2 linked regions of the Mus musculus genome follow. The protein of the gene in region 2 interacts with the protein of the main gene of each other region in a pairwise test. Links are inferred from orthologs where the notes say so. Each region holds a gene or a part of one and is shown on either strand. Other genes may lie near its edges.

Evidence for each region.
Region 1: the proteins of Hsd17b14 (region 2) and Srek1ip1 interact in binary tests that used the Homo sapiens proteins (3 or more experiments, as listed by UniProt). The two-hybrid records come from large-scale screens. The link is inferred for Mus musculus from reciprocal best matches to the Homo sapiens genes HSD17B14 and SREK1IP1.

The regions. Positions count from the first base shown.
Region 1 is NC_000079.6:104,836,615-104,839,210, reverse strand, and holds the end of Srek1ip1 (protein SREK1IP1), read right to left. Parts: intron 1,847-2,596; coding exon 1,663-1,846; 3' UTR 535-1,662; downstream 1-534. UniProt on the Homo sapiens protein: Possible splicing regulator involved in the control of cellular survival.
Region 2 is NC_000073.6:45,553,554-45,557,819, reverse strand, and holds the start of Hsd17b14 (17-beta-hydroxysteroid dehydrogenase 14), read right to left. Parts: upstream 2,893-4,266; 5' UTR 2,842-2,892; coding exon 2,754-2,841; intron 1,766-2,753; coding exon 1,727-1,765; intron 1,508-1,726; coding exon 1,425-1,507; intron 213-1,424; coding exon 146-212; intron 1-145. Other genes in the region: Plekha4 (pleckstrin homology domain-containing family A member 4), read right to left, coding at 3,793-4,055, 4,139-4,251. UniProt on the Homo sapiens protein: Catalyzes the NAD(+)-dependent oxidation of L-fucose, yielding L-fucono-1,5-lactone, which rapidly converts spontaneously to L-fucone-1,4-lactone. Can also act on D-arabinose and L-galactose, with lower catalytic efficiency. Does not use NADPH.

The sequences.
Region 1 (2,596 bases), on a different chromosome or scaffold from region 2:
AACAAATCCCTAAATATTAAAGTTCTGTGCTTTAGTTCAAACAACTGACAAAACTCTAAACAAAATTACTTTTTTTATGGGCCAGGAGAGTAGCCAGTTAGTGGAAGAGCTGAAGGTACGTACGTAGGTGTACTTCACGGGAGCAGTGTAGGGAAGGGTGTGGGCGTAGCTTCTGTGTAACCTGAGCAGAGATGAGGGTACATTAAGGGACTTCCTAGGACTACCCCTCAGTCAATCAGGGAATGTCAGTTTGGGTAAGGGAACAATTGCTAAAGCCCTCCAGCCTGCAAGGCCAAGTGTACGCATCTCATTTTATGGCCATAAATTTGCCCGCAGCCACACGTGCACTTACCAATCTGAAGATGTATGAAGTGAACCATAGCAAGGTACTCGGAGGCTTCGGGGCTGTTCGATGATAGCAGGTTGGTGATCAATGTTTTTATGGCATAATGCATTAACTTGGTGGTATTAGGGACTATTAGATGTCAAACTACTCTATACTGATAACCATGAAATTAAAAACCTCAGAGACACTTAAATCTACTGACATGTCATTGAAAATGCTTATTTATATACAAATTTCATTATTACACAAAGGCTTTCACGATGCTATCTCCAAGTCGTCAATTTTAAAAAGTACAGAATGGAAATCTTAATTTAAAAATTTTCACAGTGCTACTAAGATCTGTGACCGACGTGGAAGAGGAAATATCAACATTGATTATCCATGAGCCAGAAGTTCAGTGTGAAACTCACTCTAAAACCATTTCAGAAAAAAAATATATATATGCACACATTCATAAAAACTATCATAACACGAATATATGTAGGCATCATATACACTGGATACAATTAAAATCAGTTTTAATGAGGATTTTGCTGCTACCACACAAAAAGCTCTGTGTTTGAGGTATCACCTAAGACATGCCAATATGGCACATTTGTAAATCAACCCAGGATCTACCCTAATAATCTTGACTAGCATAGAATCTCTCTGCCAGACTTCCTAGTAACCTAAATGATTGTTTAAAAAAGGGGATGTTTTAATTGTTATAAAAACATGGGAGGCAAGTGCCAGAAACATGCATTTCATAAAACAACGGCACTGTTATAAATACTTTCATTATTATCTTCCTGTAGATCCCATTCATTTAAAAACTTACTACTTAAGATCAGTAAAGCAATTTTATCCTCAATGTTATTTTAGAAAGTCTAGAGATTTAAAAAACAACAGTGAAGACCCTCACTATCTTTATACATTACAGAGTACATAAAGCTATTCAGTATCAAGAGCAAATCACTCCTGCCGAGGCAGCTGTGCCACTGGAAGGCGGACACGACTCAGAGCTGCTAAGTAGATCATTCCTGTGACTGCAGTAAAGCCACGTGCTAATTGACTTACCGAGGGACAGCACCGGCCTAAGCCACCAAAAGAATGATGTGCTTTGTAAGTACGCATGTCTATACTTGAGGCACATCTGCTAAGTAAAGAGATGGGTTTAATACAGATGGTCAGAGAGAGAAGGGCCCCAATAGGTGAGAATGTCTTTATGGAAGAGGCTGGGACTTCCTGCAAAGTGTAATCACATAGCACTTCCAAGGAAGGCTCAACAGTTAAAAACACTGAATTCTTGAATTTTCTGAGTTAGGCCCAAGACGCTGTTACTTTTTGGTGAGTTCAGAATGGTAAGGGGAAGAACGCTTTTCCTTTTTTCTCTTCTTTTTTTCCTTTTTGTGATGCTTTCCTTTCTTTGACTTGTTCTTTTTTTCCTTTTTCTTTTCTTTTTTCTGATACTTCTGTTTCTTTTGTTTTGCGGAGTCCTCTTCAGTGGCACTGGAGTAAGACCTATGGGCAAGAACACTGCTGTGACTGGAGACATCAACTGTGTAGGATCTGCGCTGCCTCAGGTCTGGGAGAAGAGGAGTGAACACGGATACTAAAAAGTTGCCTTCTATTCTCCTTAAATGCAGCATTCAATGTTCGCTGCTTGGTCACGGAAGCTGATAAAGCTACCATCTCCTCTCTGCTTAGCACTAGAGAACTGAGGTGTTTTCCTGGGTTGCCACAGGCTTGCACACTGTGCTCCCTGCCCTGCCTATCAGAATCTCACAGGGGAGACTGAAGCAGAGGTCACTGACCTCATGCACGCAGCCCACTCGTGTATGTAATCACTTGTTATCATGTTCTCTTAACTCACAAAAGGATGCAATTATGGCTCAATATAAAAAGGATCCTAATTGTTCCTCAGTATGAATGGATAAGAGCTAAAAATTAACAAAATAAAAGCACTTCTGCAATTCCTGTCATTTTTCATAATGAGCTTGATCCTCCTGCTTGCAGAGTGATGGAAATGAGCACTTGTATTTCCAAGAGATTTTTATTAGTTACAGAAAGGGGGCTTTTAAAAAATTTTTTTATTTTTAATTATTTTTATTTTTAATTATTTTTATTTTTTTGATTTTTTTCGAGACAGGGTTTCTCTGTGTAGTCCTGGCTGTTCTGGAACTCACTTCGTAGACCAGGCTGGCCTCGAACTCAGAAATCCGCCTGCCTCTGCCTCCCAAGTGCTGGGATTAAAGGCGTGCACCACCACTG
Region 2 (4,266 bases):
GCCTGGTCTACAGAGTGAGTTCCAGGACAGCCAGGGCTATACAGAGAAACCCTGTCTCGAAAACAAACAAACAAACAAAGAGGAAGGAATGGGGTCAGGGTATAAGTAGATGCAGGGACCCTAGCCCCCAAGCCATACAACTTACGGTAGCCAGCGTTATTCACCACACAATCCAGGTGACCAAATCGAGAGAGGGTCTCAGAAACCAGAGTCTGAGGAGAGAAGAAAGAGCAGGTGATGAGCTGAGAGGTGACAGTAGTCTTGGAAAAGCCAGTAGGCCCAAGGCAAGGATGGGCTCAGCTGAGGAAGACAAGGTGGAGCGAGGGGGAGAGGGGAGGATGCAGGAAGCTGAGGACCCAGACTAAAAGAACTAAGGGACATAGTGCAGTTGCCGTTTGTCACAGCTAGTGTTTCTATCACTGTGATAAACACCATGGCCAAAAGTGACCTGGAGAGGAGAGGATTTATGTCTGCCTACAGCTCCCAGGTCACACTCTGTCACTGAGGGAAGCCAGTGACAGAGGGCTCAAGACAGAAACTCAAGGCAAGGACTGAAGCAGAGGCTCACTGGCTTGCTCCCTTGGCTCGTTCAGCCCCTTTCCTTATACTCTCCAGGCCTCCAGGACCACCTGCCCAGCGATGTCACAACCCCCCAGGGAGCTAGGGAAACTCCCACACCAACCACTAATTAAGAAAATGAGCGCCTTTAATCTCAGCACTTGGGAGGCAGAGGCAGGCAGATTTCTGAGTTTGAGGCCAGCCTGGTCTACAAAGTGAGTTCCAGGACAGCCAGGGCTATACAGAGAAACCCTGTCTCGAAAAAAAAGAAAAAAAAAGAAAAAGAAATTGAGCAGGGCAGTGGTGGCACATGCCTTTAATCCCAGCACTTGGGAGGCAGAGGCAGGCGGATTTCTGAGTTCAAGGCCAGCCTGATCTACAGAATGAGTTCCAGGACAGCCAGGGCTACACAGAGAAACCCTATCTTGGGAAAAAAGAAAAAAGAAAATGAACAGCAGGTTTGCCCACATGCCAATTTGGTGGGGCCATTTTCTAGTGAGATTTCCTCTTCCCAAATGACTGTAGCTTGGGTAGAGTTGATATAACACTTATCAGCACACCACCTTAGAAAACTTTGGAGAGGGGTGTGTGTATAAGGCAGAGCCTCAGAAGGAGGGTCTACAGACCCTGAGGGTGGTGGGGAGCTGAGATACACAGACAGAGAGACAGAGGCCCAGACTGGGGCTAAACCTGGAGGCACATAACAGATTCTGAGTGCAGGGAAGTCAGAAATTTGATACAGGAAGCAAGTGTTTTGTTCATTCCTAAAGATGGGAGGGAGAGCAGGGCAGAGGGACTGAGCTGTCCTGGGCATGGGTAGCTGGAAAGAGGGACTGGAGACCAGGTGTGGGACAGAAAACACTCACCTGCAAATCTCTTTCCTGTGTCACGTCACCGGGGATAAAAACAGTGCCCGAGAGTTCCTGCTCCAGAGCCCGGCCCCCAGCCTCTGCAGGAGAAAGATTTTGGGTCTGAGGAAGGAGAGCTGAGGCTTGGACACCAGAGTCTGAGGGTAGAGGGCTAGGGAAGAGCCCTGGATGGGAGGGAAGAAAGCCAGGACTTGAATTCCTGGGTCCGAGGAAGCAGAGCTGGGTTCAAGGGAGGAGAGCTAGGCGCGGATCCCTTTCGATGGAGGAGGCAAGGGAGAATCGAACACTGAATCACTCACCATCCTTGTCACAGAAAACCACTTGAGCCCCACTGTCCACTGCCAAAAGAAGAGAACAAGGTTACAAGCCCTGCAGACTTTCCTCACCATCTCTGGTGCCCTCTGCTGGCCACCACCCAGAGCACCTGCCACTCCAGCGGCTCTTGTGACTGGCTTCAGTCCTCTTACAAGAGCAGAATCTTGCAACAAATAACCTTTTTCATTAAGCTGCTGTTGGCCCCCATCCTGGATTCTAGAAAAATCCCAAACCGATAGGCAATAATACTCTCAAAGCTATCATTTGCAGCTAGGAACCGATCCAGGGAAGATTTTTTTTTTTATTTTTATATTTTTGAGACAGAGTTGCTCTGTATGGTCCTGGCTGTTCTGAGCTCACTCTGTAGATCAGGCTGGCCTAAAATTCAAGAGATTCGCCTGCCTCTGCCTCCCAAGTGCTGGGATTAAAGGTATATGCCACCACTGCCAGGCCAGTGGAAGAACTTTTTTTTTTTTTTAAGATTTATTTATTTATTATATGTAAGTACACTGTAGCTGTCTTCAGACACTCCAGAAATGCCAGATCTCATTACAGATGGTTGTGAGCCATCATGTGGTTGCCGGGAATTGAACTCAGGACCTTCAGAAGAGCAGTCAGTGCTCTTAACCGCTGAGCCATCTCTCCAGCCCAAGGAAGAGTTTTTAATGACCAACCTATCAGCAAAGACCCAACAATCCAAATGGACTGAGGGACTGGAGAGATGGCTCAGCAGTTAAGAGCACTGGCTGCTATTCCAAAGGACCCAGGTTCATTTCCCAGTGCCCATATGGCAGCTCACAACTGTTTGTAACTCCAGTTCCAAGGGATCTAATACTCTCAGCCAGATTCAACAACAATGCAGAGGAAAATAAAAATAAACAAATCATTTAAGAACAAATAAATCATTACAGAAATGAACCTGAGTCTCCTCCTCCCACTCTGGGAACCTCTGTCAGTCATCCTTTCTCTCCTACAACAATTCAGACAGCAGGCGGGAAGACCCTTACTCACCGAAGGCTCTCACGATCGCAGCCCCGATGCCCCGGCTGCCTCCAGTCACCACCACCACCTTCCCAGAATATCGGGTTACTGCAGCCATCCCCAGCTGTATCCCACGCCCTCTGGACCTCTTCCCACCTCCACAGTCCAGAGAAGCAGTGGGGTGGAACCAGATATACAGGCTGGGTCACTGAAGGCTGACCTTGGGAGGGGGTGTTTCTAGGAAGGCACACCTGGGAGAACTGAGGACTCTCCTTCCTAGCCCTTCTTTTTCAGTCCCAGGGTACCCAAACTGACAGTCCTCCTTCAGACTCAGGGACCCTCACCCCAGCTCTGCCTCCTCAGACTGACTTCAGCCTTGCTCCCTTTGACTTGTTTTTTTTGTTTTGTTTTGGTTTGGTTTGGTTTGGTTTTTCGAGACAGGGTTTCTCTGTATAGCCCTGGCTGTCTTGGAACTCACTTTGTAGACCAGGCTGGCCTGGAACTCAGAAATCCGCCTGCCTTTGCCTCCCAAGGGCTGGGATTAAAGGCGTGCGCCACTACACCCGGCTTTTTTTCTTTTTTTTTTTTTTTTCCTTTGACTTGTAAGACCAGGGCTACTTCTTCTGGCTTGATTCAGGCTCCAGCCTCCTCCCTCAGACCCATATTGTTTGTTTGTTTGTTTGTTTTTCGAGACAGGGTTTCTCTGTATAGCCCTGGCTGTCCTGGAACTCACTCTGTAGATCAGGCTAGCCTCAAACTCAGAAATCCACCTGTCTCTGCCTCCCAAGTGCTGGGATAAAAGGCGTGTGCCACCACTGCAGATTGGGCCCTTACCCTTGTTTGTCAGAACACAATGTCACAACCACAGAGAGAATAAAAGCTATTTATTGACTAATAGTTCAAAGTTTTCATCCAATTTTGGACAGTGTTGGGAAAATCAATCTTTGACCATAGCGGCCCTGGCCCTCCTAGAATACATGCTGGAATGAACCTCTCCCCTGTGGTCCTGAATGGTCCCACACCTCAAAGTTGTGCTTCCAGCTTGTAGGGCTCAGTATAAAGATGGGAGTCAAAAGCTGGACTGCAGCAGAGTGACTCTGAAGGGCCATGCCCCCTCTTCCTGGGTCAGAGCTGGAGGGGCCTTCCCAGGGTCCCACCTGGCCTCCCATGGGGCCAGGCCTCTCCGGCTGCCTTGGCATGAGAACCCTGTGGTAGCAGAAGTAGCCTTGTGAGGAGCTGGGGACGAGGTGACCTGGGGCAGTTCTTCACTGGGAGGCTGTGGGCTTGGCTGGAGACAGTCTCCCCTGGTATCCAAATTTCTGCCTGGAGAGGCTAAAGGGATAAGGAGCAGTGTTAACTTAATCACGTGACATCCACACTTCCAGGCTTCCTCCCTCAGAGCCTGGGCGCCTCACCTGCCATCAGCCTGTGCCACTGGGAAGCCTCTGTAGCTAGAGCCTGGGAGAGGCTGAGCACTCGCTCCCGGTGGCCTCCAGGTACTGGTGAGCAGGTTGCAGAGTGCCTGGGACTACAGAAAATAAGC